Linked DNA regions of Oreochromis niloticus. The protein of the gene in region 2 interacts with the protein of the main gene of each other region in a pairwise test. Links are inferred from orthologs where the notes say so. Each region holds a gene or a part of one and is shown on either strand. Other genes may lie near its edges. The genes, in order: eif4h and lg3h11orf68.

What was found.
Region 1: the proteins of lg3h11orf68 (region 2) and eif4h interact in binary tests that used the Homo sapiens proteins (3 or more experiments, as listed by UniProt). The two-hybrid records come from large-scale screens. The link is inferred for Oreochromis niloticus from reciprocal best matches to the Homo sapiens genes C11orf68 and EIF4H.

What each region holds. Positions count from the first base shown.
Region 1 is NC_031979.2:40,137,017-40,149,456, reverse strand, and holds the start of eif4h (eukaryotic translation initiation factor 4H), read left to right. Parts: upstream 1-7,828; 5' UTR 7,829-7,920; coding exon 7,921-7,985; intron 7,986-12,114; coding exon 12,115-12,302; intron 12,303-12,384; coding exon 12,385-12,440. UniProt on the Homo sapiens protein: Stimulates the RNA helicase activity of EIF4A in the translation initiation complex. Binds weakly mRNA.
Region 2 is NC_031967.2:4,877,829-4,889,831, reverse strand, and holds lg3h11orf68 (UPF0696 protein C11orf68 homolog), read left to right. Parts: upstream 1-7,246; 5' UTR 7,247-7,400; exon of another isoform or gene 7,401-7,405; intron 7,406-7,874; 5' UTR 7,875-7,917; coding exon 7,918-8,661; 3' UTR 8,662-9,133; downstream 9,134-12,003. Other genes in the region: drap1 (dr1-associated corepressor), read right to left, coding at 479-668, 3,312-3,400, 3,499-3,589, 4,536-4,661, 5,794-5,887, 6,093-6,165, 6,756-6,797; rela (transcription factor p65), read right to left, coding at 10,087-10,895, 11,070-11,141, 11,252-11,332, 11,416-11,631.

The DNA.
Region 1 (12,440 bases), on a different chromosome or scaffold from region 2:
GAAGACGTAAGTTGATGATTGTGGTCATGTGATGATGATGTGACGTTTACAGAGAAGTATCAGATCTCTTCACCCAACAGCCTAGATGGAGACGTTAGGTCAGACGCAGTTTTTAAATGAAGCACCCAAAGCAGCACGTCTGAATTTATAGTAGGGTACCTGCTGATCCTTCAGCTGAACTTGGCCTGTCTGAACTCACACTGCTCTCAGCTGCATGAATAGATGAACCACAAAACTCCACCTCTCTGGCTGTGTGTTACAGTGTGGAGCAGGTGGATGTCTCATTGATCTGGCTCAGGAGCTGCTGGTCATCATGGTGGGAAAACAGCTGATCAACAACATCCAGGAGTTCATTTCCCCGTAAACAGACACACACACAAACAGACTGCATCCTGGTGCCAGTGTGTCTCAGAATACTGGTGCATAATGCACAGTTATGTGGATTTGTGTAACCAAGCGCACTCTTGGGTGCTTTGCAATGATATGGACTCATTATTTGCAGGAAGGTGAAGTCATGGTGGCAGAAGAGGAAGATGAATCCTCAGCTGAAGGAGGCGGGACAGGAGGCCCAGAGGCAGGAGGAGGCTTCTCCCTGGGAGGCAGACTACCAGCTGCTGGTCTGTGAGGGACTCTTCAGCGAATACCTGGAGATGGGTGAGTCCGGATTTATCCTCGCATCCTGGGAGATGTAGTGTTTCATACGAGTCTGGTCTTCACTGTAAATCCTCCTCATCCTTCACAGTGATTCAGTTTGGGTTCATCACCATCTTCGTGGCGGCGTGCCCCCTCGCTCCTCTCTTCGCTCTCATTAATAATTGGGTGGAGGTCCGTCTGGACGCTCAGAAGTTTGTGACTGAATACCGCCGCCCGGTGGTAGAGCGAGCTCAGGACATCGGCATCTGGTTTCCTATCCTGCAGTTCATCGCACACATGGCCGTCCTGAGCAACGTAAGAATGTTTTGGGTTTTTTTTACATCTGGACGAACAGTTAGCATCCAACCCCGTTGATGTCATTCCCACCTGTTCGGCTAGAAAAGTCCAATTTGTATTTCCAAATTTAGCTCAAAACATACGTTTTATTCGCACCACAACCATAAATAATGATCCTATAAATCAGCCGCCAGTGAATCTGAACTTGTATTTTCAGGCGTTCCTCATAGCATTCACGTCATCCTTCGTGCCTCGACTGTACTACCGCTACACCAGAGACAGCACACTCAGCGGCTTCATCAACTTCACTCTGGCTACATCACCACTCAGCTACCAGCAACAGCACAACACATCCTGTAGGTAAGCATCTGCACCACAACACCACCACCAAGAACCACATGTCCATGGGCAGGCTGAGCCCGGTCAGACAGTCATGGACTTCATTTTAGCCCCAAAACAGTCATAGTCATAAGATCACACAAGACCAGGCATCTCAGCAGCTTTGAGATTGGGCTCAAAGGTGAAATGTCAAGTTTTCAAAGAAAGAACTTTGATTAGAGATCTAAAACACGATAGCAAAGTGTCCTGATTCTTTTAACTCAACGTCAGCAGCCACATCTTTAAATAAACGCACATAATTTTAACACTGAGACACAAGTGTGTGTCATACTTATTCATTTCAATTCAATTCAATTTTATTTATATAGCGCCAAATCACAACAAAAGTCGCCTCAAGGCGCTTCATATTGTACAGTAGATAGCACAGTGATGAGCACTTATGAGCTCATCACTGCCAGCTCAACACTTAATCTTTATTCATCCTCTTTGGTCATTAGCCACGTTATAGACTCTTCATATGACACATAATGGAACAGGAATATCATTTATTTGTAGGTGCACATTTCCCCTGACTAAGTAATGTTTGGGCTAAAACTGGGCTCTGTCTAACACAGGGGTGGCTGAATTACATTCAGCTAATGTGGGACTGAAAGTAGATTATATTAGACTTACTGGTCCCACATGATCACAACACACAGTGGTTGTCATGATCAGCGTTCGTGGACTGAATGGTCTGCGTCTCACCATGGAAGTCACGATGGACCTGCCCAAGGTCTGCAGGAACACCACAGGTGGTTAAACGGGTTTATATTGAAATGGGTGGAAGCCTTTTTTCTAGATGTGTGTTCAATGAGATCCAAAGACAATTCAGTTTTATTTATACAGCACCAAATCACAACAACAGTCGCCTCAAGGTGCTTTATATTGTAAGGTAGACCCTACAATAATACAGGGTGGGTCATTTATATGGATACACCGTAATAAAATGGGAATGGTTGGTGATATTAAAGTCCTGTTTGTGGCACATTAGTATATGTGAGGGGGCAAACTCCTCAAGATGGGCGGTGACCATGGTGGCCATTTAGAAGTCGGCCATCTTGGATACAACTTTTGTTTTTTCAATAGGAAGAGGGCCATGTGACACATCAAACTTATTGGTAATGTCACAAGAAAAACAATGGTGTGCTTGGTTTCAACGTAACTTTATTCTTTCATGAGTTATTTACAAGTTTCTGACCACTTATAAAATGTGTTCAATGTGCTGCCCATTGTGTTGGATTGTCAATCCAACCCTCTTCTCCCACTCTTCACACACTGATAGCAACACTGCAGGAGAAATGCCAGCACAGGCATCCAGTATCCGTAGTTTCAGGTGCTGCACATCTCGTATCTTCACACCATAGACAATTGCCTTCAGATGTCCCCAAAGATAAAAGTCTAAGGGGGTCAGATCGGGAGACCTTGGGGGCCATTCAACTGGCCCACGACGACCAATCCACTTTCCAGGAAACTGTTCATCTAGGAATGCTGGGACCTGGCACCCATAATGTGGTGGTGCACCATCTTGCTGGAAAAACTCAGGGAACGTGCCAGCTTCAGTGCATAAAGAGGGAAACACATCATCATGAAGCAATTTAAAATATCCAGTGGCCTTGAGGTTTCCATTGATGAAGAATGGACCCACTATCGTTGTACCCCATATACCACACCAAACCATCACTTTTGTTGTTCCAACAGTCTTCCAACAGTCTCCATCCAATGTGGGTTAGTGTCAGACCAATAGCGGTGGTTTTGTTTGTTAACTTCACCATTCACATAAAAGTTTGCCTCATCACTGAACAAAATCTTCTGCGTGAACTGAGGGTCCTGTTCCATTTTTTGTTTTGCCCATTCTGCAAATTCTGTGCGCCGATCTGGGTCATCCTCGTTGAGATGCTGCAGTAGCTGGAGTTTGTAAGGGTGCCATTTGTGAGTAGCTAATATCCGCCGAAGGGATGTTCGACTAATGCCACTCTCCAGTGACATGCGGAGAGTGCTACGCTGTGGGCTCTTGCTGAATGCAGCTAGGACAGCCACTGATGTTTCTTCATTAGTGACAGTTTTCTTGCATCCACATTTTGGTAAATCCAACACTGAACCAGTTTCATGAAACTTAGCAAGCAGTTTGCTGACTGTAGCATGGGAGATGGGTGGTCTCGTAGGGTGTCTTGCATTGGAATCTGCTGCAATGACCCGGTTACTGCGTTCACCAGATATCAACACAATTTCGATCCACTCCTCACGTGTTAACCTCTTCGACATGTCAATGGCTGTGAACAAAGAGAAACTTGTAAATAACTCATGAAAGAATAAAGTTACATTGAAACCAAGCACACCATTGTTTTTCTTGTGACATTACCAATAAGTTTGATGTGTCACATGGCCCTCTTCCTATTGAAAAAACAAAAGTTGTATCCAAGATGGCCGACTTCTAAATGGCCACCATGGTCACCACCCATCTTGAGGAGTTTGCCCCCTCACATATACTAATGTGCCACAAACAGGACTTTGATATCACCAACCATTCCCATTTTATTACGGTGTATCCATATAAATGGCCCACCCTGTACATACAGAGAAAACCCAACAATCATATGACCCCCTATGAGCAAGCACTTTGGCAACAGTGGGAAGGAAAAACTCCCTTTTAACAGGAAGAAACCTCCAGCAAAACCAGGGGCGGCTCGGTTGGGGTGAGATGAGGAAGACAGGACAAAGACACGCTGTGGAAGAGAGCCAGCAGACAACTTTTTATGTTTGTATTTGACAACCTAATCTTGACGTCATTTCGACATCTGTGACGTCACCTTTCATTTAACATTTGGTTGGTAGGAACAAAATCCTGAAAACAAATTCACTGTTGCTGTTGAAGTTTCGAGTGCTGTAGATGAACCAGAGAGCCTTCCAAACTCTGTCAAGTGTCTAAATGTTTACTGCAGCTCATTTTATTTATTCTGTAAATTTAAAATGCTGGTGGTGCCATAATGTAGTGGTTTACAGTGCTCCGCCGTTAAATCCCAGCAGGAGAGACAGAGGCTTTTGGGTTTGTGTCCGAAACGTATCGGGAGTGAAACTGTGCCACGTGAAAGAAGAAGCTACCTGCTGTGGATGAGTAGCACAGTACCTACTGCAGGTGATCGATGTGTGGTTATCTTACACAGGTATCGTGGTTTCAGGGATGAAAACGGTGAATACCTGCCAGAGTACTTCCACCTCCTCGCTATACAGCTTGGTTTCGTCATCATCTTCGAGGTCAGTGTCTCTCAGACTTCACTGAACCCCAAGCAGCTTGTGAACTGCTGATCGGCAGTCCGCACATTGAAGACTTGTCCCATTTTTCTTCCTCAGCACGTGGTCTTCTTCATCGGCCGCTTAATAGATTTGATGGTTCCTGATGTGTCCGAAGAGGTGGAGATGAAGATAAAGAGGGAGCACTACATGGCTAAAGAGGCTCTGGCTGAGAACCAGGTATCGAAGTTAACAGACTGTCACATGATGGTTTGTCTCACAGTTTGGTTTGCCACAGTTTAGTATCGTGTTCTATGCCTGCAGTCTCTGGGAAAGACCATGATTCCTGGGAATGGGGAAGCCCCGCCCAGTGAACTGCGACAGCGTAGATCCAGAATCTCTCCACAGGAGAGCGACCCACCGTCACCGAACCTGGAGGAGATCGCAGAGGAGACTGAAGCAATATTCAGCTCCTAAGACAAAGCTCAGGTGGACTTGGGCTACCTCTACAGCACCCAACGCTCGTTTTTAACCACTCACTGCTTTTCACTGTGCCTGTCATCAAATAACTTAACTTTTTAACTGTAACGTACTATTTTCAAAACTTGCCATGTTTGTTGTAATTGAAGTTTCTGAGTTAAATGCTAAATGTTGCTCAGCAGCTGGTAACCTGATGGGAGGCAGTTAGCGAGAGCGCTGTAACATGAGCTGGGCTGTTTCATGTAATGAACATTTGGATATCTGTTACACATAAACCTATACATATCCAAACACTTTATGGGTGATTACAGAAACATAATCATCAGTGTTGGCATGAATTTCACTGTGGATGAGGTAACTTCTCTCACACTGTAGCTGAATGTGCTGTTTATGTGTATTTGAGTGCTTAGTCAGATATCTTGTGTAGTTTAGCTTCTACTGCTGAAAGGTTTTAGTCTATTTTCTAATAAAAATTCATGGCCAAGAAGATTTACATTATTTTTGGTATTTTCCATTTTTTCAGGTTATTGTTTGTTGTTCTGTCTAAAACTGTGTAAGCTCAGCATGAGGACCACTGATGGGAGTGGTGATTAGATGTTCAACCATATCCTCCTGCAGAAGAACGGGGCCCAACAGCAGCTACCTCCATCAGCAGAACAGATCCCCACAAAAAATATTTGAGGAACGTTTTTCAGATACTAGTGTGGTCAAACTTTTGCACGATTGGATCTGCTTCCAATATTCCAGTGCCAGATCTGACTGGACAGCCCCAGAGGGCGACATGAAGGGGCCTGAACGACCCATCATTTACCACGTGTTTCCCAGACATGGATTAAGCCCATTCCTAAAGTAACAGAAAAGTTCAATCTCCACTGAAAACAATTTTAGTCTGAAAAAAGGCTCAACCCAAGCCCAGAGAACTGAGCCATAATTTTACAACGTTATACTGCACTAAACGTGTATTACAAAGTAAAGTCTAAACAGATATCTTAACTGTCACTGTTTTAATCCAATTCCATTTTATTTATATTGCACCAACAACACAACAACAGTTGTCCCAAGGCACTTTATAATGTAAGTTAAAGCTCTACAGTAATAGTAATTTGAGAAAACCCCAATAAACAGACGCACCCTTGTGAGTGAGCACTTTGGCGACAGTGGGGAGGAAAAACTCAGTTTTATCAAGAAGAAACCTCCGGCAGAACCAGGCTCAGGGAGGGGCGGCTCCCTGTTTTCTTTCCTGGCTGGAATGATTTCACAGCATGTTTAATCATTTTTAAAAACAAGTTTATTTGGTGTTTTCCTCCATTCACACAGGGTCATAATATACGTGCACCTGTCTGGATATTTGAACGCTCTTCTTGGCAGAAATGGCAGGGTTAATTTAAATTAGTTGGTTTTCTGTTACAGACCCAGCTTTAAAGTCCACAAATTCTTGACAGGGTTGAGGTCGGGGCTTTGGGAAAGCCATTTCAGAAGCTAAATGTTGGCCTGCTTTGTCCAAAACCAGTTCCGATGAGTCATCGTCACAAACCAACTGTGTCAGAGTTTCTACCGTCTAGCTGTTAGTTTGAGGTGAAGGTGAAGAATTTGGAGATAGTCCTCCTCCTTCATTATACCATCCCCTGTGTGCAGTCTACCAGAACCACTGGCAGCAAACAGCCCCACAGCGTGACGCTACCACCCTCGTGCTTGACAGTCGGTACAGTGTTCTTAGGTTTGAAGGCCTTACCTTTACTCCTCCAAACATTCTTCTTGTTATTTTGACCAAACAGCTCAGTCTTTGTCCTTCGTTCTTTGACCATCAGTCTTTTCTCCAGAAGTATTTGATTCGTCCATGTGGGCAGCTGCAAATTTCAGTCGAGCTTGCAGGTGTTGATGTTAGAGCGGGGGCTTGTTTCTGGGTCAGCATCCTCTCAGTCCATGATGATGTAAAACTGGGTGTCCACCTTTCTGCAGGCTTGCCCCTGAACATCCTACCCAGTTTCCTCTCAATGGAGGGTGACAAGTTCGGATATTCTTCCAGATCTTGGCAAAGTGTTGAAACATCAGAATAACTTACATACAAATGTCCTGGAGTCTGCAGCTGTTCAGAAATTACTCCTAAAGACTTTCTTAACTTGTATAAATCTGCAGTTGTCCTTCTTAGACCTTCACAATGTTCCCTGAACTTTCTCACTAGACAGAAGTTAAGACTTCAGCACCATTTATTAAAGTATTTGTCTGACTTTGCACCTGTGTGGAACAGAGAAAATACATTTAAAGATGTGTAGTGTACAATCATTCCAGCCTGGGAAAAGAACTGGCCAAATAAATCATTAAAAGTCCAAAATTACTCCGACATTACAATGAAAGGATAAAGACGTCTGACCACAACTGTAGATGCTTTATTCATATCACTACACCAAAAATACAGTATTGCTTATGAACAGAAAGACTTTTGAAAAAAGGATCTTTTGTCTCAAAGACCTTGTGTGTTTTATCAGTTTCTCAGACAGAGAAGCATCTGGGCTAACATTTTGTAAATGACGTGAGGGACAGACAGAGCTGTGGTGAGGTGTGGCCACATGATTTAAACGGAGTCAGTGGTGTCATCCAAAGACAACAATGGGCCAAACATTTATTGGCTTCAGGATTATGACATTTTAACAACTGTTTCTATTGTTTACTTTGTATTTTCCATTCATTTTAACAATTCAATTTAGTTTCGTGTGTTTTCCACGTTCGTGCTGTGTTTTCATTACTTATATTATAAATATTTCATTTCAAACTGACTTAAAAAAAAACATAATTAGTAAAAAAGAAGTTAGTGTGTGATTTTACCGGTCAGGCGCTCTGCGGGCAGCTAAACCCGCTGTGTGTGTGACGTGTAGGACCTCCTCCTCCAACACACAAGCAGCAGTAATGGCGGACTACGACAACTACGATGAACGGGACCGGGCCTACGGCAGCTTCGGCGGCGGCAGAGGGTGAGTTTCCACCGCGCACGGCAGCTATGTCGTGTCCTCGAAGAACAAACCCGACCGGACCGTCGCCGTGTTTCCCGCTGCTGTCCGCCCCGAGTCAGGGGAGCAGGCTGTCTAGGCCCCGGAGCTCGACACGCCCCGCGGTTACTGAACAGGCCGAGCATGCGTGAGGGTATCCCGGAGATATCAGCCGGGAAACACCGCGGTCTCGTAGCTAACATGCTAACGGTTAGCGAGCGGCTAGCTAGATGGAGACAGTAAGAACAGGCTCTCCAGTGTGGCGTGGATCGCCCCGCAGCTTGGCGGTACAGATACCCACTCAGCGTGTGTGGTTGTGAGGCGGTGGGGCGACCGGCGGGGAAGGAGGCCGCAGCAGGTTCAGGTGGAGGCGGTGGCGGAGCTGCAGGCTGCCCGCATGGCTGCATCATGTGTCCCCTGCTGCACATTCATCCACGTCGCAGTCAGAGCTGAGAGTGGGAGTCGGTTAGAGCCGGTAGATGCGGTTACCGTCAGGTCAGCGGTTGTTTTCCGCTCTGTGGCACTGCATGTTGTTATCTGATTGCTGATAAACGATAAAAAATAAAAAAAAAACAGTGTTTTTTTTTCGTGGAGGGAGGGGGCTTCGGGATGTCTGCAGCACACAAAGCTTTAATATCAGCACAGGCAGGAGTCACCTGTGAGAAGATCGGACTGATGTTCTCTCCTTTATCACAGACTTCATGAACGGATTATCAGAATTCTTTTCTTTTTTTTCTTTTTTTTTTTTTTGCCGAAAGTTTGCTGAGATTAATTTTTGGTCGATTAATTGTTTCAGCACGTCTTTATTTCTGTTTCTTCGGGAGCACCGAATCAAATTTTAATCAAAGTTTAGAGACTGATGAAGAGTTACGGGGCTGCTTTTCTTCATCAGTTGTTCTGTCAGGAGCTGAATCTGATGAGAGGGGAAAACGTTGGGGCTGAAGTCTATATTTTAGGAGTGGAGGGAATTCCCCTCATTGCATGCTTCCATTGGAGCAGGGGAGGCTGTAGAGTTTGAAGGAGTCTGGGCAGATTGAGTGGCTGACCCCTGCAAAGACAATACATCAAACAGAAACCAGACTGAACTGGGTGAAGGTAATATCCGGTAAATCAAACTGTCCTAGCTTCTGCTTGAGCATCTTCTCAGAGCACCGAGGTCCATGTCGGCACATGTTGAAGTCTGTCTGTGTTTGAAACAGTAGGGGGTGCTGTAGTCCTGCAGGGAGGGAGCAGAGCTCCAGATGTTGATTGTTCTTCTGGTCGCTCTGCACCGCTGTCCTGAACGTTATTGGACCTCTGTCTGTGGGGCTTTTTTGTAATACAAGTGAAAGATTTATGTATAACTCTTTTTAGGACGATCTCCTGATGGCTCCAAAATGAGGCAGAGCGGACTGTGAGTGCATGAAGCTTTGTTTGAGGGTGTTAGACGGCTGATTTCAGATCTGAATCCAGACTGTTGCTTCAAGAGGTTAGCAGCTGGCTCCATGTCAGTAGGTCAGACTTTTACTGGTTCATAAAGAAGCTAAATAGAATCTATAAGAACCAAACGTCTATTATTAGATTTATGTTGTTTATATTAAATCTGTATCTGGGAAAACGAGTCCCAGTTTCCAGATATCCCATTTATTTTGAAGCCAAAGCTAGTAGAAGGTGTGGTGTTCTGCATGTGGCTGGCATGTCTGCTACTGGGAGATGCTGCTGCTGCTGGCAGCCTGTAACAAAGCCTCCAACAAGTCATTTAAAGCTTCATCAGTTTCTCTGCTGTTGCTGTGTTTAAGGAGAAAAGGTGGTGTGTGGGAGCAGCACAAATCTTTGCTTCAGTTTAAACGACTCCTGCAGGCAGTTTAAGGTAACACTTTTGGCGTGTGAATGTGGAAACACTGTGAGAGAAATCTAAGGAGCTTGGGGGCGAGCTTCTTGGATGAGAGGTGAACCGTCTTCAAGCAACTTAAAGAAGTCCAGACGCTTTTCTTTCCAAGCTCCTTAGACTACGATGACCTGGATGACTGAGAACCTTCACAGACACTGTGAGAGAAAACTGCTCCACGGTGAGGGTCTGTTTCAGCTTGACAGGGGAACCCTGTCTGAAATACTTTATTACTTTATTATTATACTTTATTACAAAGGTCATCAGGTCATCACTCATGTTCAGGGCTTTTTGTGGTGGTTGCGTAATATAAAGTGTTGCAGCACTCACTTCAAAGATGCTGTGTTAGGACGAATGCTGGAGGCTGATAGTGGGCCTGTGGGGGTGGGCGGTCCTTCTGTGGTCAGGCCAAACAGTCCGAGAAAGCCTCAGTTTGATCAAACCACAACACTTCAAACAGTGCCGGTGCTTTTCCTTTGCCAGCATGTTTTATATGCAACGCCTGATTTTAGCTGCGCGTCTGTATCATAGCAACAACAACCGGTCAGCGATGGATGCAAATCCAACTCCAAATAGCAGCGAGCAGGAGCCAAGCTGGCTGACTTTGTTCATGTAGAGCAGGCTGACGCGCTGCAGTGATCAGCTCCTACATTTAAACCCCAAACTGCACTTTCAGAGCTCCTCTGGCTGTGTTCCTGCTTCATCAGAGCTCCATCAGTGATCCAGGAGCAGCGATCCAGGTGCAGGGTGGAGCAGCACACAGCAGAGCGATAACCAAGTGGCTCAGAGTTTTGAATCGGATTTGTGGTTTATAATTGTTTCAAAGTTTGAGTGGCTACAGAGGATTAAACCAGCTGCTCTGAAACACACAGATCTACACTGGCAGGCATGCGGTAGCATGTCGAGCAGATGGAAATATTCTCTCATTTTTGGAGTTCTTTACCCGATAAGAACCCAACAGGACACACATTTACCGGCATCATAAACACACCACTCCCGACCTTTGAAGCGTCATAATTTCCAGTTATGAGTCCTTGATTATTTTTGTTGTTCAGTTGGTGGAAATCTGCAGATTTACCCGTTATAATAATAAGTTAGAGCAATAATTCCTATAAATGGATATAAAACTGAAGATGTGCACTTACATTACATATCACACATTCAACATGTCCCAGACCGCTGTTTGCTTCCACTAATGGGTTTGCAGAAATCACAAAAAACCACTCCAGACGCACGCTTTGTGATCTGATCAGCTGTTCCTGCACTTCCTACGTTGGAGCATACGTCATAACGTTGTGAGCATCAACTGTCGTGTGGTTTCATGTGCGCCTTTAGCTGTGAAAACAGGAAGTGATGTCATTTTTGCAGGAACTGTAGTTTCTTTTTTCCTCCACCAAAGCCTATCAAAGCTCCACTGGTGCTGTTGAAAAGTGGAACACTGGAAACAGTTTATTTTGATGCACGTGCTGTCTGTTAGTCAGTTTATAAAAATGAGTCTCAAAAATGAAATTATGAAGACTCACATATTTCCTGTGGTTGGAAACTATTGTGTGCAACTTTTCTTTCTTACAGTTTTGATATTTCTTATTGGTTTATTCCACTTATTAAATAATGTGTGTAATTACAGTGGACATTTTACAGACATTATTAAAGTTTGACATATAAGGGTTGTATTGATGCATAGCAACTTGAAATGCTTTAAAAATGTGTGTAAAATGTAAAGTTAAGATCTGGTGGATTTGTGAGATTATTGAGATTATTTCTGATCATTCATCAAACTACAGTATTTGGATATCAGCTGATCGTTTTTCCTTTCAGACAGATTTCCAACATTTGTCATATGTAGTAATTTATTTACTTGTTTACACTCAGGATGTTTCTCCGGTCTCTTTTTTTAATCTTCATTTATTGATCATTTTCATTAACGAGATCGACAGAGAGCCAGTATCGTCCGACTGCATCGTCTGATTTGTCAGGCTGTCCTTCCGTTTCACGAAACGACCGTGAACGAGCGACCGAGCTCATAAAGTCATTGGGAACGCATCACGGGGCCGAGGGCAGCTTTTAGGTGTTTCTGTCCCCGCCACTTCCTGTTTAGGCTCTTAAGCGAGCACTCCCAGTTTGGAAGACCAGTGAACTTATCGTGTGGAAAGTTGTCTTTAACTCTGCTCCAGTCTGAGCTCTATATCCCACAATCCTCTTTACTTGTGTACCTGTCTGACGATCCTCTGTCCCCCCTCCCATCAGGCCCCGTGGCGGCAGCGGTCCCGGAGGCCCCAGGAAGCAGAAGGAGCTGCCGACAGAGCCTCCGTTCACGGCGTACGTGGGAAACCTGCCATTCAACACGGTGCAGGGAGACATCGACATCATCTTCAAAGAGCTCAACATCCGCAGCGTCCGATTGGTCAGAGACAAAGAGACAGACAAGTTCAAAGGTTCGGATGGGGTGTGGGTGTCGGGGATGATGAAGTTCGCCTCGGGTGAAACTTCCTGTCTGACTGTTTGCATCTCTTTCAGGTTTTTGTTATGTTGAATTTGATGATTTGGAATCTCTAAAAGAAGCTTTGACATAC
Region 2 (12,003 bases):
GGATCTGAGTGACAACGACTGATATGTTCAGGTCTACAACAGGAAACTGAGGAAAAAAAGTTCCCAAAAGAAAAGAGAAAGAAAAGAAAAAGCTGCGAGGCCCAAGCTTGTCGTGTCTGCAAAAACGGTGACGACCGCCATTTTTCCTAGTCAAAAATCGAGGGACTGACTTGTTAAAAAAGATCCTCGTTGGATTCTTCTCTACAATAAAATAAAAGTTTCTTTAAAAAAAAAAAAAAGAAGAAAAAGAAAATTAAAACACATAATGTACAGGCTTTGTGTCTCTCGCGGTGGTGGTGGCTCTTATAGCTGGCCGTCAAGGGCGTTTTGGTCAGCAGGCTGCAATGAAGAGTCTCTCTCTCTCCTCTGCTTACAGCAGCTGCCAGAAAAACAACTTAAGAATTTGAAAAATAACATTGAGTGTGTGTGTGTGTTAGAAGAGAATGAGAGAGTGTGTGAGTGTAGCGCTGAGAACGAGCTAAGAGTCATAATCTTCATCGTCGTCGTCGTCCCCGTTCTTGTGCGGTGCAGGGACTGTGGGAGGTGGAGCCATGCTCATCATGGAGGCGTGTGGGGCGAAGGCCACGGTGCCCGGGGGTTGCGTCGGAGCCATGTTGCCCATTGGGACCATGTTGGCCATGTGCATATACTGAGGGGGAGCGTTGGAGCTGTGGGGGCACAGGAACAGGTGTTAACCTCTGAGGAGTCATGTCAAACCAAGTGCATTTTATGCACAAGCTACCTTTTAAATTTAAACATTATTAGTCAAATTAACTGTGCACTAAAAATAATGGACTATTTTTAGAGTTAAATATCCAAAATGAATCTTGATATTTACAGGGAACTCCAGGTACAACTTACTCAACTTGAGGCCAGCAAAGGTTTGGCTATTGATTCTAGTAGGAAAAGAGCGCCCTCTTCCTGTTTTTGGCATAATGTCAGCCACCAGATTTCTCTCTTAACAGGCTGCAGTTACCAGTCATATAGAAATATGCCTTTATGTGCTCTTAATGTGAGACTATATAACTTTTTGAGAGAGAAAAAAAGTTTGCTTGTCTGGAGATTTTCTTACAAATGAAAAGACAAATAGCAGCACCTTAATGGGAGGCACAACACGAAAACAGAGCTGAAAGATTATGTAAAGTAAATTGAGTGTTTATTTCTTGAGATAAGACAGCTTTGAACTCGATTTGCTGCTGATGTAATTACCAACCAATTAGTGCTTCTTCAGACAAGTCTTAAAATGTCATCCCAGTCAAGTGAAAAACCTAGCCTAGTGAGAAATTGCTGATCTACTGGGCTTTTCCTGCACAATTCTCTCCGAGTTTACAGCGAACAGTCCATAATTAGAAGCTGTCCAGTTTGCAGGCAGTTCACTGGACGAAAATGTCTTAGTCAGAGGATAAGGGGCAGACTGCTTTGAGCTGATAAGAAGCAACAACAGCTCAAATAACCACTCGTTATTTGAGCGGACATCTCTGAATGCACAACACATCAAACCTTGAAGCAGATGGGCTACAGCAGAAGACCACACCAGGTGCTGTCAGCTAGAAAAGGAAACTGAGGCTACATTTCACACAGGCTCAACAAAATTGTACAATACAAATGGAAAAACATTGCCCTGATCAGTCTTGATTTCTGCTGTGATATTTGGATGGCAGAGTCAGAATTTGGTGTAAACAACATGAAAGCATCCTGGCTTGTATCTAAAGTTCATTCTGGTGCCATTTTTGTATGGGTGGGGGGTATTATATTGGTACACTTTGTGCTCCTTAGTACCAACTGAGCGTCATTACTAGAGTATTGTCACTAAGCATGTCCATCCCTTTATGGTCACAGCGTACCCATTTCTGATGGCTGCTTCCAGCAGAACAACGCAGCATGTCACAAAGCTCAAATCATCTCAAACTGGATTCTTGAACATGACAATGAGTCCAGTGTACTCAAATGGCCTCTACAGTCACTGCCAGTGGATGTGGGGGAATGGAAGATCACGGATATAGAGCCAAATCTGCAAAGTCGGTATCATTCTTTGATGTCAGTATGGACTAAAATCTCAAGAATGCTTCCAGCATTTTGATGAATCTACGCCACAAAGAATTTAGACTGATCTGAAGGAAAAATGGGGTTCAACCCAGTCATTTGTATCTAATAAACTGGCACGTGAGTGTAGAGTTGTATATGAGGGGGGGTGTCATATTGGGTTTTGAATATTATTATATCTGCTTGTAACAGTGCAATAATGGAATATAGCAATAGAAAATACTTGGAACAGTACTGCAGACATCCCAGACTCCACAAGCCTCTTAATTCTATTCTGTGTTGGCAAATTTGACCAAATTAATAAAGACTGAAATAAAACACATTTCCTACATTCTTGGTTACTTTTCCAAGTACACTATATGGTTATTTACCGTTTTTATTACCATTTTCAATATCACAACCTCAGTTCTCAAGTAAATCAGAATCACAAAGAGTAATTTGCTCTTCAAGCTCTGTAATCAGCAGACTGCAGAAAAGTGTAACCCTAACTGCACCGAGTGAATGGTTGAAGCATAAGTCTTGTGATTTGGCTAGTGGGAAAAGCCTCATACACGTCAGGTCCCTGCTAATCATTTCCCAAATTCATATCCATGGAATTTTTTAATTGTTGTTCCATGATTAGATGAGTCTTCTGTTTTTGCAATGATTTTATCAGATGATATAAGAATCAACTTAAAGTGCTAATTCTGCCAGCTGTGTTGTCTCACAGCTTGAGTGTAGATAAATTGGTGAAAGTGTGCTAGTATAGAATAAATGGGGACGGTATTCTGAAGAGCTTTGAATACTCAGAATACTGAAAACTAGAAATGTACTGTATAAATGCCAGTCCACACCACTCCATGTTGTTCCATAGCAGAGCTCACTCAGGGTGCCAGACCTAACTTGTTTAGTTTATTCTGTAATGTGTAGGTATGTAGACATGTTTATGTTGGACTAAATGTGCGTAAGTAACTACTTGCACCTTTTGCTGTATCGGTTTGCCCTCTTGTGGGTATCATGTAGTGTTTGAATGGCTCAAATGTGTGTGGGTTGTTTATAATGATTCAGCAGTTCTCATGAATTCTATACCATTTTCTGGGCTTCTACCTCCTTTGTCATATGCTGTAAATCACTTTACATCTTGGTATCAGAGAGTCTGTTTTGCAGAGGGAAGAGCAGTGCAAGAGTTTAAAAAACAAAAACAAAAAAACACGCCCTCCCTCTCTCCGAGTCTGCAGTCTGGGAGGATATTTCCAGACACACCGTCTCATGTGGATCTGGACACAAACCTGTGGAACCTGGATGGAGCCTGCAGATGTGTGCTGGACTGAGAGCCGTCCTCGTCGTCTCCGTCTGTCTCGCTGTCTTCACTGTCGTCCTGTTTCCATCACAAGGAAGACAACAGTGAGTCGTCTCCCCTCATACAGACAAACACAATAGACAGGTTCAGGCCTCTACATGTAAATCATCTCACACCTCCTGCTCCGACTCTGTTCCAGATAACTTCTTGTCCTTGCCTTTGGCGCCAGCACCTCCATTCTTGCGACCAGACCCTGGTTTTCGACCTCTGAGGAAGAAAAAAGAATAACCGTGTAAGGAAATGTGATAGTAGTTTAAAGTTTCAAAAGAACGTTTACGAGACAACACATGGAACAGAACATACACTTGGGCTATTATGGACGAGGGAACCAGAAATCATTTGTTTAACTTAGTGCACAAAAATGTTTTAAATGAAAAACATAGTATCTAATGACTTTTCAACTGCTTACAAACACATGTGGCTTTTTTAAAAGCAGAAATCCTCTCCTTGCAACTTTAAGATAACTCCAGAGGAGAACAGTGTGACGCATACTGCTGGTGAAAATTACTCTGAGGCACTTGCTGACACCAAATGTCTAAACATTACAAGTTTTACGACCACTTTGAATTGAATCTGAATCCAATCAGCCGCAGTCTTCAGAGAAAAGAAGCCTTCTCTTACTCATTTAATTCATGTCTAATTGCCCGCCAAGCTCTCCGCTACAAATTAGCTGTGGTGCCGGTGTCTGATCTGACAGTCAATACTGCATTTTCTTGTCTACAATTCCTCAATAATTAATTTTTGCTCTGGCCAACTCTTTCATTTTCTTCTGTTATTTTGGGGGAGATAATCTAGAATCACAAAACTAAAGGAACATAGGAGTACGGTAACACTGCAAGGATTATAGACATATCGCAGCTGTCGGTTCCAATTTACAGCAGTGCTCATTTCCAGAAGAGGAAAAGATAACGTGCACAGATTCTGTCTGTTCGTGCGAATCATTTTTAGTTTAAACCGATGTGCGTGTGTGCACTTATCAGAGCAGACTGAATTACAAACTGCTTAATGAAATAAGTCCAAATTATCTGCAGCTGGATTGGCTGCCTCATATCACCCTGGAGTGTTTTCACTGTGTATGTGAAATACTCCTTCGCTTTCAAAGCATCATGACTCTTTCTCTACATGTTTGGGTGTCTGTGTGAGCAAATATTACCTTCGTGGGACTTTCTCTCCTCCCCCCTCGGTGTGGTTCTCTTCCCCCTCTCCCTGCATGTCTGGCACCGCTGCAACAAGGTCTTTTAAAAAATCAAACTGCTGCTCCAGCTCAATGCATTGCTTTCTGTGAATAAATATGAACAGTTTTCTCCTCAGCCTTACTTGCCAAGTGAAATGTAAGCTCGTATCAAAAAGACAGCAAGCTTAATGGTGTACATACTCATTTTAGCAACACATACAGTCTGAGTCACAGGGAAAGATTGTTTTGGCGGGCTCTGTCTTACACAGGCCAGAAATACTTTCAGATACAAGGGATTCGGCAATGTGCTGCAAATGTGCTCCACAGCACTATCAGGCTCCCACCACACAGTAAATCATGCTGTGTAACAGGATGCCATTTTTTTTGCAAAAGCGGCTCATAATAATTTTCCTTACTTATTTATTTATTTATCTTTTTGCAATGTATAGGGCCAGTCCTTGTCAGTTCATCAAATGCTTTCTCACCTCACCATCTTACCTGAAAAAACATTCCAGGTGGAGGATACACATCCTAAATAGGAATCGTAGAAAGTTTCAGGTCCTGGCTGTTATTAGCTTTCTCAAAAATATTTCAAGGGATGATATTTCCAGGTTTTTAGACATTTTCCAATATCATTTTTGAGGGGCTATTTTAATATGACATTATCTACTTTAAAGTGTTTTAGGCAATTTTTTCTTAGGAAGATGAGAAAGAAAAAAAATTATGCTAGGGAATTATTCAAAAACACTCCTATTTTCAACATTTCACTGAGGATTATTTTCTTGAGTAAACTAATGACTGTGAAGACCTGAAATTTTGCACAATTCCCATTTTGTGAAATTTGATTGAATGAGATGAAAGAACTTTGTACTGTTAAAACTAATCAGAAGAAAACTGACTTAAAATAAGTGTATTGTGTATATTATGAATAATCGTTATTTTTAAATGTGAATCAAGCAAAGCTACTTTAGTAAAGTCCAAGAATGAAATTATCGAGCTGGAAGTTCACCATGAGTCCACTTTAAAAATAAAGAAAATAAAGGCCTGACAGCATTTCAGCCACACTCAATAAAAACAAATACAATTCTATATAAACAACTTTCCCCTTTTCTTCAACTACCTCTTTCTGACCCTAATATACCTGAACAGCATATATCTGAACAGCAGATGGCTTTGCCTTCCTAAGAAGTTCATCTCCAACACAATGCAACACAATGAAGACAAACACAGAACTTACAGATGTGCCGTTGTCATTGTCTTTGCATTCCTAGATTGGGTGACTTGACAAGCCTTTGTAAGCAACGACTCCAAAAAAAGCTCCAGGGCTCTCGCTGATATCTTGGATAAGGGAAGTACAGTGAAGCAGTTGTGTGTTTGAACTTTAAAATCATCAAACATGCAATAATAGACAACTTGACACAACAACACAACAGACTGAGGAAGCATTTTTCTCTAATTATTAATCAGTCTTTGACTTTTACAATTTATCATTCAAGACAAAACTTGCACAGTGACGACTGCAGGCAGAAAGGATACATATAATAACAGGCACTGCTGCAGCCACTTTGCCTATTTCTTCATCTGTCTGCATAATCTTCTTAATCCTTGCCTGAAATGAGAAAAGGTCGATTTTTATGCATGTGTCTACAGAAACGCTTAAAATTTTCTTTTCCTTAAAAAAAAAATCATTTTCAGTGAAAACGCACTGAAATTCAGGGACAACTTAGTAAAGAGTTTGCAGTACACCACATCGAATAATGTGAGGTCCCCACAAAGTAACGGCAATCATTCCTTTTACACTAGTCACGTAGTGTGAGGATTGTAGATACATTATGCAGCTTATTATAATAAAGAATGGATTTATTCACATTTATTTGCGTGCCGCTTAGCCTAGCTTGAGATGCTAAAAACAACGTCAATTAGTAGACCAACTTAAATAGCACGCCTGCTATGTGTGTACACCACCAACTAATGACATATAGGGGATGTTTGGTCACTAACTTCATGAAATCAACTACTTTTCACTAAGGCACGTGCTTTGTAAACTAAATGGTTTGCGAGTGTTAGATGGCTTGTCTGCTCTCTAAGCAACAAAAGAGGCCGAATTCCACTTAAGCTAGTTACAGAACTTAGCTTTCCATGTTACACTTTGCTAACGTTAGCTTGCTTTGACACCGGCTCAGCACAGTTTAAACTTACCGGAGGAAATCTGGCGTTGTATTTCTTCTTTTTGCTGGGCATAATTAAATTACCTGGGTGGCTAAACTAAACTAAAATACAATATATGCTATATTCGTATTCTATTTCATACAGAAATTCGCCTCCACCGCGCACACACCAGATAGTGGTGGCTATCCGGCTAACTAGTTAGCACGTCGTCTTCGTCACTCGTTCCTCGGTGCGGTCAGTTTGTTTCCGCAGGGTCTCCGTGCCGTCAGGTTGGAGCGCATGTTGTTCCGCAAATGCAAAGAAACGAAATACTTTAACGATAGTAATGGAACAGGTTTATTTTTTAAAGCTTAACAAACACAAACACTGATGTAGGAAACTTACATATTTAACATGTACACATACCGAGGAACATGCAAGTTTCTTAAAAGTCGCTGAATCTAGTACAACATAACTTATTTTTATAATTATGTTATAGCAAAACGTAAAAATATATATTTATATCATGTGTTCCATACGGTCGAATTTGTGGACGAGGTACGAAATTTAATTGATGTATAAATAATTATTAGTTAAACTGTCAGCCACCTGAGTGGACTTTGGCTCTTAGATACGGAGGAGCTGCTGTGCTTATGCGGAAGATCAACACTGAACAACAAACTTGGACATCTACGGGTAGAGTAAGCCTTTATGTTCAAAGTTTAACATCGACGTGCGATTATTTACGTTTTAAATGGGAAAACTGTGAATGTTAAAGCGTCAGTTGTATTCAACAGCTGGCTAGAAATGGTTAATGTTTCTCTAAAAGGACGAGCGTGTACATTTATAAAGACTAGCTTGTCGGCTAGCTACAACAAGGCTAAAGCAGTCAGAAAGCTGTTCTACGTGTTCTTTGACATGTCAGCTGTAGGCGGTACACTGGGGTCGATAGCAGCTTTAGTGTGAAACAGAATCAGTGGTAGAGAAACGCTAACTTTCGCTGTTGTAGCAGGCTAGCTATTAGCATTCATAAGCAATTCAGTTGTCCACTTCTGTCGAAGTTTGGCAGGGTTGTAAGCTAATAAATCACAGCAAAGGGGTTGTAAGCTAACACAGAGGCTAAACCAGTGGTTTTTATAAAAATAATAACTGCATTCTTCAACTCAACAGGAAGGCTTCAGAACTTGTTTACTCGTGTAACTGCTATACCATTATGGAGGAAGAAGAGGGCCCTGTTGATGGCGAGATGAGGACCCCCTTTGCTGCAGAGACCTACGCTGCTGAAGCCATGGCTGCAGACATGGACCCCTGGATTGTTTTTGACTCTAGAAGAACTCCCAGATCCGAGTTTGATGGCTGGTTGGAGAGTAACCGGCCCTCCCAAGTGTCCAGATTTGGAGACGAGGAGGGTGGCGTCAGCCCTGTGGGGTGGATTGCTGTGGTGGGCCCAAACCACTGCCCCAGTGGTGCGGATGTCACAGGACTCCAGGAGAGTTGGGAGAAACTTTTGGCGAGTTCCCGGCCTGTCACCTTCCAGACAGTGAGGGAGCTGGCCCTGAACCATAGGGTACTCTCAGGCAAGTGGCTTATGCACTTGGACACTGGTTTCAAGTTGGACCATGCTTGGGAATGTGTGGCCAGAGCAGCCCTAGATGGCAAGATCTCACTCGTTAAAGTCACCCCATTTGACCGCAAGGCAGAGGGCAAGCAGGTCATTTGTGCCTATAACCAGAACTTCACTGATGAGAATGAGGTCATAAGGCTGGATTCAGTCATTCGTGCCACAGGGGTCAAATGCCCTCTCTCCTACAAGCCAGATGTGTATACATACCTGGGAATCTATCGGAACAACCGCTGGAATGTTTGCCCCACCATATACGAGAGCAAGTTCGACCTGGAGTGTGTGCCCAGGCGTTCCCACATCATCAACAAAGTTACCAATCTTGAGGTAACATAAGCTACTCAGACCAAGAGAGGAGCTTTGCTGTAACAGTATGTGAAGAGGTGCGTGATGATCCCAGGAGATGGGTTGGACAGTACAGTCCTCTGCCTGCAACTATTTAGAACATCATTGGTTGAATTCTGATCACAAGTTCTTCCTTTTTTTTTTTTTTTTTAGAAAACCCCCCCACTAAATTTGTCTCTTTTTGTGTTGTAAAATTTTCTGAATGACCTGAAACACTTTGATTTTTTTGTATTGAAAATATTGTATACATAAGCAAGAATAGTAGTACTAACAAGATTCTAACAGGCTCGAGTGACGGGAAGAAGACTAACGTCCTTGATTTGTATGCACATTTTCAGAAGATCCAGTGAAGCACTCCTTGTTGCTATTTTACATTTGTCTCTTGCGTTCGGCTTTATTTTTTTTTCCTTTGTACTGTATAACAGTTACAGAGTTGCAAAGTAAAATATTCTTTTGAAAATCATCTTTATACGTTGTGGTATTTATTGCCAAAACAGTGTTTTGAATGTTGACAAAGTTAGTCTCATTCTCAAAAAAAAAAAAAGCACAATTATAGTACGATCCACTTTCATAATACATGTAAAAACATAATTACATTTCAGTAAAGCACCTTACTGCAGAGTATAGCAAGTCTGAAACAGTTGAGTTAAAATGCAGCCATTACTGATAAAATAAGTGTAGAAAAACTGATTACAGAGCAGTGGAAACTATTACCAGATAAAAAGCACAATCTCTAGTATAAGCACGTATATAGTAATGTTGCTTGTTTGATAAATGTACACCTTCATTTTGTTTCTAGAACATTCAGATAGTTTGTGTTAACCTTCAGAAAACAACGGTGCAATCCAAAGAGATGATTTTTAAGAACGGACATAATCTGTGTAGACTTACCTCTAGATCTGATTACATATATACGAACCCTTTTGTATAAAGACAAAAAAAGAGAAAAGCTGCACATTTTTGTGGCTACAGCTAGCAAAATTGTTCAAATAACAGTACAAAAACATGCTTAACATGTTCCAAAAATAATCACCACACCGGATACCTTTATCAAAGTACCCATGCTGTCTGTCTTCTTAAAACATTCGCTGGAGAATCTGTCTCCACCATCAATATGTTGACAGTGACCTAAACATTTAGTCACAGATGCTGGACATGGGTTTCACAGGGCATGAAATCTGATCACCTACATTATGGGTTTTGTAATTTATCAGACAAACTATATGACTGGGCAAGGCGTCAGACTGAATACCATAAAGTCATTGCTGGTATTTTAAGAAGTGTGTCCACAGTGAGCAGTGCTGCTACATTCGGTCTCCTGCCTACTTCCTTTTTTGCCTTACAATAATAAAGAAGTTTTAGTCCTGATGGCCACAGGGGAAGATACAACTGGTCTTTGGAAAAATGAAACAAACTTTAAGTCGGGTGTCCTGACACAAACCCAGCTTGGCTTCCACTGTTAAAAATGGAAATAAGACGGTCCTCATCTGCAGACATCAACTCATCGAAGTCTTCGAGCATTTGGTTGTTATTGGGTCTGCTGTCTGTCATGATTTCGTTCTGGAGCAGATGCACGATGCTGTTGGGGTAATTCATCCAAGTGCTTCCTGGAGTGCTGGCAGGGTCAGAAGTGTTCTGAGGTGCTGCACTAGTCTGGGCAGCGGTAGAGGAGGCTGAAGGGCCAGTCTGATGACATGAAGGATGATTTACACCAACAAGCTGGGGGTTCAGAAGATCCTCCAAGTCATCCATGTTGAGGCTGTCCAGGTTGACTGGGACCTGGCCTTCAGTGAAGCTAGGGAAATCTGGGATATCGTCATCCACAAGTGTTGGGTCCGCCCGGAACTGAGTGCTCTGGAGGGCGAAGGAGTTGCTTGTCTGTGAGGAGGCCAAGTTTATTTGAGAAGCTGAGGGCTCCTGCTGGGTGATAGTCGAGGAAATGTTGGGGAAGAATTCATGAAGATCTGACAGGTTGACCGTTGAGTAGTCCTGATTGGAAGTGGAAGCGATGGTAGAGGAGACGGTGGCCGGTGATGGGTTCATTGAAAAGCTAGACACTGGGTTTGCTTTTGGTTGGGAGCCCAGGCCTGTCATCTTCCACTGGTTGGTAGGAGCTGCTGACATGTTAGAGGCTTCTACCTTTGTCTGCTCTGAAAATAGCTGGCCAGGTTGGAAGTATTGGGTATGTGATTTTGCCCCAAGGGGACCAGTAGGCACCACAGCTGCTGCAAACACAAACAAGTGATTTGAGAACTCACTGCAGAAAATCCTTCTCACATATTTCACATACACAAAGTTCACCGCTAATGACTCAACTGCCTTAAGAAAGGAAGATGAGGAGATGTCTGTATGTCTTCAAATGAGTTCAAATAAGGAAGGAACATCTGAAACAGACTCACCAGCTTGTGGAGGCTTGGCTGTCAGCTTTCTCCTTGATGGGTTTAGGTGCTGTCTATCTTGTGGAGTGGTCACTGAAATGTCAGAAGACGTGTTTATAATACCGTGCAGTTACAACAGTGTAACCATTATCCAATTACACTATGCTCAGCTGACAGAAAAAAAAAAAATCTTATCAACGTACCACTAGATAGCAAGGGCCCTAGCTTCAGGTTCTGGAATATGTCTCCTGTCCGCTTTCTCTTCTCACTCAGCCTGTATTCATCTGCAGGGGTGGAAATGATAAAGTTTAAATTTGAGAAATGATACACATACTCAGTACATTTTCCCGCATATAATGTCTTTTACCTGGATCTGATGGCAGGTACTGGAAGTCCATTGGCTCACTGACTTCTCGATCAGAGGGCCGCCGGAGCTGCATCTTGACTCTCACTGGCTCAGTGAGGTTAGTGTCACGATAGGGCGGTGTGCGAAACACAATGGCCACCTGCCTGTGGACATCAGCCTGGGAGAAAGTGCCCTTCCCCTCCCAGGAGTCTTGGAAGAAACGCACCTCGATGTCCTCTGCAGGGGAACAGAAAATGGCAAATGTAACAACATACTGCAGCTGGTGATGAACTCAAAAAGAATAATCAGATAATCGGGCACTAACTCGCCAGCTTCGGTGCAAAAGCAGATCTGATGTTTTTGATTAACAGAGAAAAGACCCCGGGGGTGTTGCATCACATTTGCTGCCACGCAACACTCCAGTATAACAACAACTTAGAAGGCTCGCAGCCAGCTTCAGTTGTTAAACCTAAACTAAAAGGGTTTAATGTTCAAAGCAGATATGTGACAGCTCCGCTCACTGTGAAAATAGCTGTGTGACAGGCTCCCAGAGACAGCAGGACCAAGAGATGAACTAGTACAAAATTCAGCCTTCTCACAATCTTTTTT